Linked DNA regions of Saccharomyces cerevisiae S288C. Changing the gene in region 4 together with the main gene of any one other region gives a genetic interaction. Each region holds a gene or a part of one and is shown on either strand. Other genes may lie near its edges. The genes, in order: DPC25, YKL183C-A, YFL064C and GND2.

What was found.
Region 1: mutations in GND2 (region 4) and DPC25 together harm fitness more than expected from each alone (negative genetic interaction), as found in Saccharomyces cerevisiae (one large-scale study listed by BioGRID).
Region 2: mutations in GND2 (region 4) and YKL183C-A together harm fitness more than expected from each alone (negative genetic interaction), as found in Saccharomyces cerevisiae (one large-scale study listed by BioGRID).
Region 3: mutations in GND2 (region 4) and YFL064C together harm fitness more than expected from each alone (negative genetic interaction), as found in Saccharomyces cerevisiae (one large-scale study listed by BioGRID).

Annotation. Positions count from the first base shown.
Region 1 is NC_001148.4:347,534-350,365, reverse strand, and holds DPC25 (Dpc25p), read right to left. Parts: upstream 1,248-2,832; coding exon 501-1,247; downstream 1-500. Other genes in the region: adenyl-nucleotide exchange factor SSE1, read left to right, coding at 1-172; YPL108W (uncharacterized protein), read right to left, coding at 1,414-1,920.
Region 2 is NC_001143.9:97,869-100,641, reverse strand, and holds YKL183C-A (uncharacterized protein), read left to right. Parts: upstream 1-2,034; coding exon 2,035-2,247; downstream 2,248-2,773. Other genes in the region: LOT5 (Lot5p), read right to left, coding at 1,001-1,921; ornithine decarboxylase SPE1, read right to left, coding at 2,485-2,773.
Region 3 is NC_001138.5:2,754-5,489, forward strand, and holds YFL064C (uncharacterized protein), read right to left. Parts: upstream 1,094-2,736; coding exon 569-1,093; downstream 1-568. Other genes in the region: YFL065C (uncharacterized protein), read right to left, coding at 277-585.
Region 4 is NC_001139.9:1,002,728-1,006,679, forward strand, and holds GND2 (phosphogluconate dehydrogenase (decarboxylating) GND2), read left to right. Parts: upstream 1-1,896; coding exon 1,897-3,375; downstream 3,376-3,952. Other genes in the region: putative N,N-dimethylaniline monooxygenase COQ6, read right to left, coding at 1-1,235; MTM1 (Mtm1p), read right to left, coding at 3,478-3,952. UniProt on the Saccharomyces cerevisiae protein: Catalyzes the oxidative decarboxylation of 6-phosphogluconate to ribulose 5-phosphate and CO(2), with concomitant reduction of NADP to NADPH.

The DNA.
Region 1 (2,832 bases), on a different chromosome or scaffold from region 4:
TATTAGAGGTAGATACTTGGCTAAAGAAGAAGAAAAGAAGCAAGCTATAAGATCTAAGCAAGAAGCATCCCAAATGGCTGCTATGGCTGAAAAGTTGGCTGCTCAAAGAAAGGCAGAAGCTGAAAAGAAGGAAGAAAAGAAGGACACTGAAGGTGATGTTGACATGGACTAATGTTAATGCAGCAAAGTAACTAGAAAAGGATCTTTATTGTTTTTTCCGATTTTTTTAACTCACTTTGGATACATTTTTTTTAATATCTTCTCTGTATAGTTAAAAAAAGATTATAATATAATATAACTGAAAATTTTTATGAATATGTGTATGTTTACGAATATATGTATGCATGAATGGGGACATGCCAGCGCGTATTCACGCATTAGTCTCCTAAACCCTCTAAGTGAAATATATGTATGTTTATTATTCTCCATCCATAAAGTCTACCAAGATCAAAGAAGACCGCAAATATTGTACATAGGCTTTTCAATAATATATATTTGCTTCAAACCAAAGCTGTCCTCTTTTTTATTTCTTCCTGTCGGCGAATTTTTTGTAATCTTTTCTTTGATTCAAACTCTGCAAAGGCTTTAACGTAGACAGGAATATCTTCCCAGCCTTCATCAGCATCTGATTCACTGACTGATTGGTCTCCTCCATCTTTCTGTTCGTAATTGTGTCTCAAAGCAATATTTTTCCTCTTGGCTGCCAATACACTCTTGGGCAGAGGCCCTTTTCTTTTAGGGAACAAACTTCTGATAGCAGATAAATCATGAGGTTGTTCTGCTTTTTTGCTATCGGTTTCCAGCTTCTTTTCACGTAACTCAACAGGGACATTTTCCATATGTAACAATCCCAAAGGTGGATTCCAGTCTTTAGGCCACTTCTCCTTAGTTCCTGCGATCTTTTCCGCAGCCTCTTTCCTTCTATGTTTCCAGTCTCTTAAATCCTCGCTATATATCTCCCAGACACAGTTAACGCAACCTGACATGCAACAGTTATCGGGTTCTTGTGGTTTTGCAGGCACTTGGACACCTGCTATTTTCTTCGTTCCGCCGCTAAGCACTCTACTTGTGGATCTTGGTGGTTCACCCTTTAAGCGTCCTCCAAAAACAGTGGTCATTCTTTCTTCGACAGAAGTAGAGATATCTTGAGTGTTTCCTTCAAAAGTCATATCTACTCTGGAGTATCTTGTGAACCTCCGCACCGGATAAATTCTGTAAAGTAATGACCATCCCTGATTTCTTATCATTTTCTACTTTTGATCACGTCTCTATCTAATGACGGTTTCATGCACCCTCTGACTGTTGTAATTTACGTATTATTATTCTGTTTAATTTATGCTATTTATGTAAATGAGTTCGGCCATGTCGGAGGAGAAAGATATCTTTTTTCAAATTTGAGTATCTGATTCGGGCTTATAATACATGCCCACGACATCGCTCGATCATATATTCCAACTCTTCAAGCTCCCTCTTCATTTTATTCTTCACGTTGAACGGTTCAAAGAGCCCCAGAAAATAGGTGCTGAGATCCAGACACTCCTTGTACTTACATTGGTAAAATAAACGATGGCAGAAACCACTAAGCACCTGTCGCTGATGCTTATTGGAGATATCGTACTTGCCTTCCCGGATCTCAACCAAGGGATCTACCTCATCCATCCATCCTACCTTTGTCCGCACAGGGCCTTGTTCTACTTCGAAGTAGTGCTGCAATTGCTGTGTATACTCTTCTTCCGTTTGACCTTTACGTATTTTAGTTTTCCCGGTGGATTTTCTAACAATTACTTCACCTGTTCTACCATCTAACGAGATTGGCTTAGTCACTGATTGATCCTTCTCTCCGTGGGCTTTCCTAAAACCTGTACTATAGTTTTTTTCCACCATTTTTGGTGCTTCTTCTCTATCAGATGCTTCTTTCATAAAAATTATTATCTTTCTTAGCTGTTATTCATCTTACATTTTTTTTTCAATTACGGCGAGGCGATGACTTCAATCGTTGCTGTCAAGATTGAATTGACAATTACAGTCGATGTTGAATATTAACTTATATATGACAGATCATTACAGCTAGTCTAGTTCGACAAGATTAGTAAGATTAGGAGTTATTTTTAACTGCTTATTATGCAAGTTGTGTAGGCCACAGGCGCAACTGAAAAACATAATTTCAGATTAGGCAGTTACTGGAAAGATCGCGTTCTTGTATTGTCTAAATAGAAGCAGTTGTTTTAATAATGCTTACAATTGAACTATGAACCAAAGCAATAATTTATGAGAAACTAAAATGGGATGCATCAGATCTTTGCACTCAATTGAGTTTAAAACTGTACAGGTACTAATATTATATTAACGCTGCTTCTATAACACTTGTTTTGACATGACGATAAGTGTAGTGTATTCAAATGCCGTATGTCACTTGAACACACAGGGAACTGCACTCTGCACTTCGGAACAAGATTGAAAGTTACTGTGTTATTAACCTTTGCCAACAAGCGAAAACAACCAGGTGTTTCTGCGGTTTACAAAATCTTTAAGGGATTGAGGTTAGTTGGCTCAAAGAGAAGAAGTTCCCAGTCGATGTATCAAGCAGAGCTAAGAGAAAAAGTGCCGCGAAAGGGTTTGATTGGTCAAGTTGGCTTGTTCATCAGGAACTAAATTAATCAAGGTGTGATTCTATCTGTCAACCCCCCCCCTTGATACTTCCTGTACTTAGAATCAATTTATTAAATACAAATTTAGAATCTGTGATTCGTAAATCTTAAGTGTTTAAATACTAAGTGTGTATTAAAGGCTTTACTTCAAGCAACGAAAAATAAATAACCCCGAATATATGAG
Region 2 (2,773 bases), on a different chromosome or scaffold from region 4:
GGCGAATAAATATACTAAAAAGAGCGGAATCCTAGTCTATAATCTGATTTTCCGGATGATGTTCTTGTAGTTTCTTTTCTTTATATATTTTTCAGAAATATTCAAAGAGCATATAAGAATATATTTGACCTTGAATTGTATGGAAAAAAAGAATTAATAAATTGAAAAAGGAAGAAAGAAAATTCGTTTAAAAAAGTTGTTTGTTCTTCTTTGTAATGTAAGTGATAACAAGTATGAAAAGGCCCAATGTACTTTTTTATATTTTTCCCTTGGTTCTTTTTCCTTATCAATCAATACCTTTTTTTTTCTTATATTTTTAGTTTTCCCCTATAACTTTGTTGAAAGCCGTTTATATATATAGATAATGATATATATACCCAGTTTTAGTTGGTCCTGCAGAATAGAAGGAAAAAGGAAAAGTGTTTGGAGAAGATGGTTCAATCGATAAAAAGTATGCCAAAAATGCCAAAATGCCGACTGTAATCTCTGATTATTGTCGCAGTGAATCGTTCAACACTTTTCGGTGATTGGGAAAGGCACACTTACTGTCAGACCAAAAGCGTTAAATAGCAACAACGTATTGTTCGCGATTATTTGTATTTTTCAACAATTTCTTTTAACTTGTGCGACGGAAAGATCGCTGTTGCGTAATTATGCTTGGCTGGGCGGCATGTGAAGTTTTTGGCCGTCGTTTGTTGGAGGCCAGGGGAGTAGTGAACCGTGCCTGCACCTCGTGTATCGTGATGCGGAGCAGACGCTGCTATAACCCGGCCTCCGAGGAGCCGTGGGTGCACGGGCATGGAAGGCTGATGCGGACCTTCTACGGGTTTTTTCACATGCTGCCGTTTGCTGAAACATCTTAACTAAGCCTTCGCGCGGCCATACGGGCCCTCAAGACATTCATTACTTGGTATAGAAAGGTATATACGAAGGCAAATAGCCATATTCGTAGAGGACGAGACCGCATAGTACAGCGGGATGTTCCCATAATAGATGTTGTTCATTCATTGTCTCTGGAGTTCTTTCTGCCAGCAAGATTTTGATTTGCGTAGAACTCCATAGACATACTTGCTTCTGGACCACCCCTAGAGACCACGTTGTCCATAACGAGGTCGCCATCCAGATCGTCTGCCAGCCCGTCGTTCTGATACACGGGCGGCCCGTGAAGGGTGTCTCCAAGCCCAGAATACGTGGCGTTGAGATCTTGCGCACCCTCAAACGCCATGCTTGGATCTTGGTATTGTTCCTGGTCTTGATCTTGTACGTCCTCACCGTGCAGGTCCATGCATACGGCTAGTGCTTCGTTACAATTGTTTACCAGGTCATCGCCCCTGTTCACGCCGAAGTTTTCGAAGGTGAAAAGGGTTTCGATTTCGTTGTTATAATGGCGATCGTATATTGAATATTTGGGCCTGATAGTCAATTCCACGCTGCGCACGGTGAAGGCATGTGCTTCTTCGCCGTCGAATTCGCAGGCCTGTGGCGCGAGGCTTTGGTAGAGCATGTCCAACACTTCGTCTCTTTCCAAAGTCAGCAAAATTTCTAATTGAAGCCCTTCCCTACCATCTGGTAGCCGTCTTGATGCATGGTACAAAACGCTGCTGTAGGGAATTTCCAGCCCATATCCCAAGCCATTGAACCAAATGATAATGCAGCTGTTGAGTATAAACAGGTCTGTGCCATACTCACTGGTGTCTTGTGGGTTGGCTTGATTGGACAAATGAGAGCTCGAACAAGGTGTCAGGGAGCCTAGTATCAGGTCCCGACCTCCGCCAAAGAGTATTATGTATTCTTCATTATTCAGTGCAGAAAAGTTGCCGTTGAATCGCGGCTGCGTCTTCTTGAATTGGTTATATGGTATGACGTTTTCGACCGATGGTTTGGTCCTTGCAATTTGGCACTTTGGTTTTTTTTTCATCATTTTTCTTTTTATTTTATGGTTGATGCTTCTTTTGAAATAAATATTCGTCTATCACTGTAGCTATGGTCTATCTTGGCCTGTGTTGAAGTATGGTGAACAATCCGAAGTAATGGATGTATTCAAAGATCTTGCTATACCGTAGTAACGTTCTGTTCATGAACTTTTTCTCTGTTTTTGTATGTACAATTGGTACTTTATTTTTGGTTTTCGCAGATGTCTATGTTCTTGCGTCGGCATTTTTCCAAAGTAAAAAGGAAAAAGAGACAAAGTTTAAGCATTTACACTACCAAAAAAGATCTTGTTTCTTTCTAGCAAATATACACTAAACATAAAAAAAAATTATAAAAAATTGTAAAAAAAATATAAAAAAATACTTTTGTGTACAATGGCGTACAGTGGTGGACAGGAAAAATGCCAGAATTTTCTTGAATCATCATTCTCTGACTCTTAAATAGCGTGTATAACTCGTTCATGAACACTCAAATTCTTAGTGACAATGGTTGCATTCAGCCTTTTCCCACCCCCTCCGTCTCTCTTGCGAAAGTCGTGGTTAAATATATCCTTCAATCGAGTTCAGAGTCTATGTATACTATATCCGCAGTCTGCTCAAAGCCGTTGAATTGAGTAGCCGCCGATGATGTGTAGGCACCCAGGGCAGGAAAATAAAACCAATCACCGACTATAACATCATGCTTCATGTAATACTCTTTGGCAATACAATCCAAACCATCACATGTGGGTCCCCAGATGGAAACTTTATATGGATACTCAGATCTTGTTTTGTTGATAGAGTCGAGGACCGCAGTAGTGGATTCAAAATCGTCGTAATGAAATTCCAAATTATGATAAAGG
Region 3 (2,736 bases), on a different chromosome or scaffold from region 4:
TTGATCATGATCTGAACTCGCCGCCTCACCTGCCACTACGTCTTCCGCATTCCGAGTACTAGAGAATGAACAATGGTAGTCGCTTTCAAGGCCTAACCATTGAATCCAGCGCTCGGAAGTGAGTCCGTCAAGCGTCTTTAGTCGAGGCTCCGATGAACCGTTCTTGTTGTATCGTCGACGTATACGTTGCGCTGTAGCTCTGGATAACGGTAAGCGTATCACCGTAAGCTCGTCAATTATTTTTGAGAGCCGCGGTCATTTTGTTAGTATCTCTTCTCAACTTGGGCAGCACACACGCAAAACATCACCCAATCGGTCCTTTTTGTTCATCATATCGTTACATATCTGTGAAAAGTACTTTATCTCAATGGGTTTACGTGGGCATAGATCACGCTTCAGCCGCTCTGTGTCGACTTTCTTTTCGCCAGGTAAACTTGCTTGGTATGCAGAAAAAATCGATAGCTCATCTACGTGTAGTAACAAAAACATGTGGGGTGCCAAATTGTACCCATATTTCCTTATGGTGCTTTTCTGAAGACTCCTTACAATAGGTGCGCCAGAAACAAAGTCAGTGAAAGTACGCATCGTAGAGCTGTCGTTCGGCCTGGCACTCGCTATTTCGTGACAACGTTCCAGGACACGGAAAACTCAACTCATTATAGTATCCTCTGTTGAGGTAAAAAAGAGAAAGGGTATCGTAATCCTTTCTATTGAATTTCAAAGTATGCACTTGAAACAACGTGTAGACCATCAAGTTGATTTTCTTGGGAATAAGATACTTTGAAGGGATTGGTCCGCCCTGGAAATCTGGTTCGTCTTCAACAAATGTCAGGAACTTTTGTACATTTTTCCCGACCATGACGGAAATGACAATTTTTTCAAAAGACCTTTTCCTATTCATTGCACCAGTTCTGAATTTTACCACTTTGATTAGGCCAGACTTTTCGTCTTCGTAGAATGACCGCACTTCCGTGGGGATCGATTCAAATAAAGTTATTGAGGGACAATGTACCAAGTCGTTTTTGTTATTTAGAGCCGACTCAAACTCGTCAAAGTTTGCTTTTTCAAACTTACGCCTATCGGAAACTTTCATTTTATTTTTGTAAGTTTCGAAATTAACAATAGTATGTTGATTGTTATGCTTTTTGACAAGAAATCCATCAATATAAACAAAAGATTGTCCAGTTTCCGTCTTATCATCATCTAAGAATGTAATAATTAAGCTATTGAGAAGATGCAGAATCTGCGCTATGCAGGTGCAAATCTCCAGCAGCAGCAAAGAAAATTCAGTTAATAAGAAATCTCACTAAGATAAGCGACTGTCTGTCCCCTTCAAGCACAACATAGAAAACAGAAGGATGTCTCATTCATCGCTTGATTTCCGGCCTGCAAAAATAAAGTAGTCGGTACGCACTTTCGTTTTCAATTTCCATGGTGCACAGTATCTTAACTATCTGCTTAGTCGAGGAGAACCAGGATTCGTGGATATTCTCTTGGATACTTCAAACATGGACCTACGCTTAGCCTGCGCTTAGCCTACAACTTCTTCCGCTCTCGAAAAGACCAATATAATAGAAAGTTATAAATTACATTTCCTTATTAGGTATACGACCTCGCGCTTCGAAGTAGAGGAGCCCTTTTTGGCGTACCTACATATGGCGCGTCAGACAGACAAACTTCCCCCAAAAATGTATTACCCCGCCGAATAAGAAAACAGACCCATTCACCCACGACGTATCAAGTTACTTCCTTGGTGCAATGTCCCACTATAAAAAAATTCCTTGACGCTAGATCGTTGGACTAAAATCTGCGTCCCAATCGCCTAAACAGGAAATATTGCCTATTTTCGTACAAGGTTACTTCCTAGATGCTATATGTCCCTACGGCCTTGTCTAACACCATCCAGCATGCAATACAGTGACATATATATACCCACACACCCACACACACCACACCCACACACCCACACCCACACACCACACCCACACCACACCCACACACCACACCCACACCACACCACACCCACACCACACCCACCACACCCACACCCACACACCACACCCACACCCTAATACTACCTCAACCCTACCCTAATCCAACCCTTCCATCCTGTCTCTCAACTTACCCTCCATTACCCTGCCTCCCCACTCGTTACCCTGCCTCCCCACCACCAACCCACAAATCCACCATAACAGTTACCCTCCAATTACCCATATCCAACCTCACTGCCACTTACCCTGCCATTACCCTACCATCCACCATGTCCTACTCACTGTACTGTTGTTCTACCCTCCATATTGAAACGTTAACAAATGATCGTAAACAATGCACACATACTTACCCTGCCAATACCCTACCATGCCCCATCTGTCATACTCACCATCACTTGTATACTGATACGGCATACGCACACGGATGCTACAATAGTATATACTATCTCAACTTACCCTACTTTCACATTCCACTCCATGGCCCATCTCTCACTTCATGAGTACAAATGCACCCACATCATTATGCACGGCACTTGCCTCAGCGGTCTATACCCTGTGCCATTTACGCATAACTCCCACTATTATCCACATTTTAATATTTATATCTTATTCCGCGGCCCCAAATATTGTATAAATGCCCTTAATACATACGTTATACCTCTTTTTCACCGTATACTAACCACTCAATTTATATACACTTATGCCAATATTACAAAAAAATCACCACTAAAATCACCTAAACATA
Region 4 (3,952 bases):
CCAATGTCTAAACCTCTTTCCATTGCCTTTTCTAAAGCGTATACTAAACCATGAACGTCTGTTTGCCCCATGTTTAACCCCTGTCCAGCGAGAGGATGTGTCGTATGTGCTGCGTCCCCAACAAGGGCAACTCTATCAGTGCAATAACGATCTGCATGTGTTAATTTTAAGGGAAAACGTGCTCTTGTCTTATCTATTATACTAACAACTCTTGGTGGGTAAATTTCATCAATATCCGACTCGTCCTTCAACGTGGCGTATATTTCCTCAGTTCTGAATTTAATATCTTCTATCAATTTATCGGTGTCCATAGAGCCATCTTCCAATGTACGGTAATAGTAGTTCATGTCTGCGTCTTCCAAGACAAAAGCAGCATTGATAAGTGCAGTGAATGATTCTGGAGGTAATGACAACAAAAGCCTCGATAAACGTTCAGATGAACTCCAGACTAAAGTAGCATTATTTTCAGGCATGGGTAAGTGTGCAATTGGACCAGTGGGTAAGAACCTCTGCCAGCCCCTTAGTTTAAAGGGAGGATACTCTAACTTCATGCTGGCCACAACACCATAGGCATTATACATCCAGCCCCTAGATGGGATCTGGGAAAATCTTCTGGTAGGAGAATTGAACCCGTCTGCACCCACTAGCAATCTCGTCTTGTATACTTCACCATTGGAAAGAGTGACTAAAGGCCAGGACAATGGATCATTAGGGTCGCTGTGTTTAATATTGACAACTTTTGTATTATCAATAATATCAATGGAGTCCTTCTTTGAATCGTACTGAGAAATTCTGTTGTATAAGGAGGCCTGTATATTTATAATTTCAATCATACAAAGCATGGAGTCCCTTGCCAGATCCAAAGTAGCCTTAGAACAACCGTCCGTGACATAGAGTCCGTCATAACTTTGAATCCTGTCATGCATCAAAGTTGCCCCAGCGTTATTCTCAAGAAAATGAATAGATCTAGGCGTAACACTGACAATCCTGTTCGTAAAATAATCTGGGGGTGAATTATAAAAGTCCGATAATTTATCTTTTAAGTCCACCATATCGACTAAAGTTGTCTTTAGATCTTTTAATTGCGGAGAATTCTTAATCGATGCAGCTAAAGTCAAACCTGCAGGACCCCCACCTACGATTAATACATCTGTTAACTTTGGAGCTGAAGATTTGGCTGTTGCCAAACCCCTCACCAAAATACGCCGAGTAAGCATAACTTTTGAAAAGAACATGCCTCTGTGTCAATCGATACAAGGTTCACTGAAAGACCAATTTGAGTTACTGAATGAAGAAAATTATCGCCACAATTATATTTATTCCTTTTTAATGTCGTATCACAATTCCAGAAGGGATATTTCTCAGAAACAGTTTAAGATCTGCGTGTTCCTTCTGCAAGAAGAAGGGAAAAAAAGAAAGGAGAAACAATAGCAGCATAAATCTTGTTCGATAAAACAACATCACTTTTTCTTGAAACTTCAAGGGTTTGCCTCCTTAGCTTAGTGGTAGAGCGTTGCACTTGTAATGCAAAGGTCGTTAGTTCAATTCTGACAGGTGGCAGTTTCCTTTTTATTTGTCAGTATTAATAATTGAGGCGCCCCTAATTTTTTTGGCACCGCTCTCGATGAAAAAGTAGAGACGTCAGAAATTGAACGTTTCCTCTAGGAGTTTATTAACTAATAACCCCGAAAAATGGCTCTTTAACCACGAGTGCCCACGGAGGTTATCTTCACCCCTATTTTCATTTTAAATTTTAGATCACTGCTAGGAGTTAGCTCAAATATATATATATATATATATATGGAGACAACGTTTGAAGAATTCGTAGGTGCAGGTGAGCATATTGCCGGATAAGTGTAGTTACGCAACTACAATTAAAAAAACACGAGGAACAGAATGTCAAAGGCAGTAGGTGATTTAGGCTTAGTTGGTTTAGCCGTGATGGGTCAAAATTTGATCTTAAACGCAGCGGATCACGGATTTACCGTGGTTGCTTATAATAGGACGCAATCAAAGGTAGATAGGTTTCTAGCTAATGAGGCAAAAGGAAAATCAATAATTGGTGCAACTTCAATTGAGGACTTGGTTGCGAAACTAAAGAAACCTAGAAAGATTATGCTTTTAATCAAAGCCGGTGCTCCGGTCGACACTTTAATAAAGGAACTTGTACCACATCTTGATAAAGGCGACATTATTATCGACGGTGGTAACTCACATTTCCCGGACACTAACAGACGCTACGAAGAGCTAACAAAGCAAGGAATTCTTTTTGTGGGCTCTGGTGTCTCAGGCGGTGAAGATGGTGCACGTTTTGGTCCATCTTTAATGCCTGGTGGGTCAGCAGAAGCATGGCCGCACATCAAGAACATCTTTCAATCTATTGCCGCCAAATCAAACGGTGAGCCATGCTGCGAATGGGTGGGGCCTGCCGGTTCTGGTCACTATGTGAAGATGGTACACAACGGTATCGAGTACGGTGATATGCAGTTGATTTGCGAGGCTTACGATATCATGAAACGAATTGGCCGGTTTACGGATAAAGAGATCAGTGAAGTATTTGACAAGTGGAACACTGGAGTTTTGGATTCTTTCTTGATTGAAATCACGAGGGACATTTTAAAATTCGATGACGTCGACGGTAAGCCATTGGTGGAAAAAATTATGGATACTGCCGGTCAAAAGGGTACTGGTAAATGGACTGCAATCAACGCCTTGGATTTAGGAATGCCAGTCACTTTAATTGGGGAGGCTGTTTTCGCTCGTTGTTTGTCAGCCATAAAGGACGAACGTAAAAGAGCTTCGAAACTTCTGGCAGGACCAACAGTACCAAAGGATGCAATACATGATAGAGAACAATTTGTGTATGATTTGGAACAAGCATTATACGCTTCAAAGATTATTTCATATGCTCAAGGTTTCATGCTGATCCGCGAAGCTGCCAGATCATACGGCTGGAAATTAAACAACCCAGCTATTGCTCTAATGTGGAGAGGTGGCTGTATAATCAGATCTGTGTTCTTAGCTGAGATTACGAAGGCTTATAGGGACGATCCAGATTTGGAAAATTTATTATTCAACGAGTTCTTCGCTTCTGCAGTTACTAAGGCCCAATCCGGTTGGAGAAGAACTATTGCCCTTGCTGCTACTTACGGTATTCCAACTCCAGCTTTCTCTACTGCTTTAGCGTTTTACGACGGCTATAGATCTGAGAGGCTACCAGCAAACTTGTTACAAGCGCAACGTGATTATTTTGGCGCTCATACATTTAGAATTTTACCTGAATGTGCTTCTGCCCATTTGCCAGTAGACAAGGATATTCATATCAATTGGACTGGGCACGGAGGTAATATATCTTCCTCAACCTACCAAGCTTAAGGAGTTAAAGGCAAAGTTTTCTTTTCTAGAGCCGTTCCCACAAATAATTATACGTATATGCTTCTTTTCGTTTACTATATATCTATATTTACAAGCCTTTATTCACTGATGCAATTTGTTTCCAAATACTTTTTTGGAGATCTCATAACTAGATATCATGATGGCGCAACTTGGGCGTATCTTAATTACTCTGGCTGCCAGGCCCGTGTAGAGGGCCGCAAGACCTTCTGTACGCCATATAGTCTCTAAGAACTTGAACATGTTTCTAGACCTATTGCCGCCTTTCGGATCGCTATTGTTCATCATGGATATTTGCCATCTCGTCTTACCGACATCAAAAGGGTGTGTGCATATAGCAGCTATCATCCCACTTATGCAACCACTGGCAAAACTGTTTATAAAATGGACCCAGTTTGCGTCCTTAGATGCAAATCGAGTAGAATCTAGCCATAGTCTTTCCTTGCAAAGTTCATAGGAACTCCAATATATTGCACTAAACGGAACGTCTCTCCACAGAGTGATCTCCAAACCTTTGAAGAGGGCCCGAGAAGGACCCACCATTTTCATTTCCTGCCTC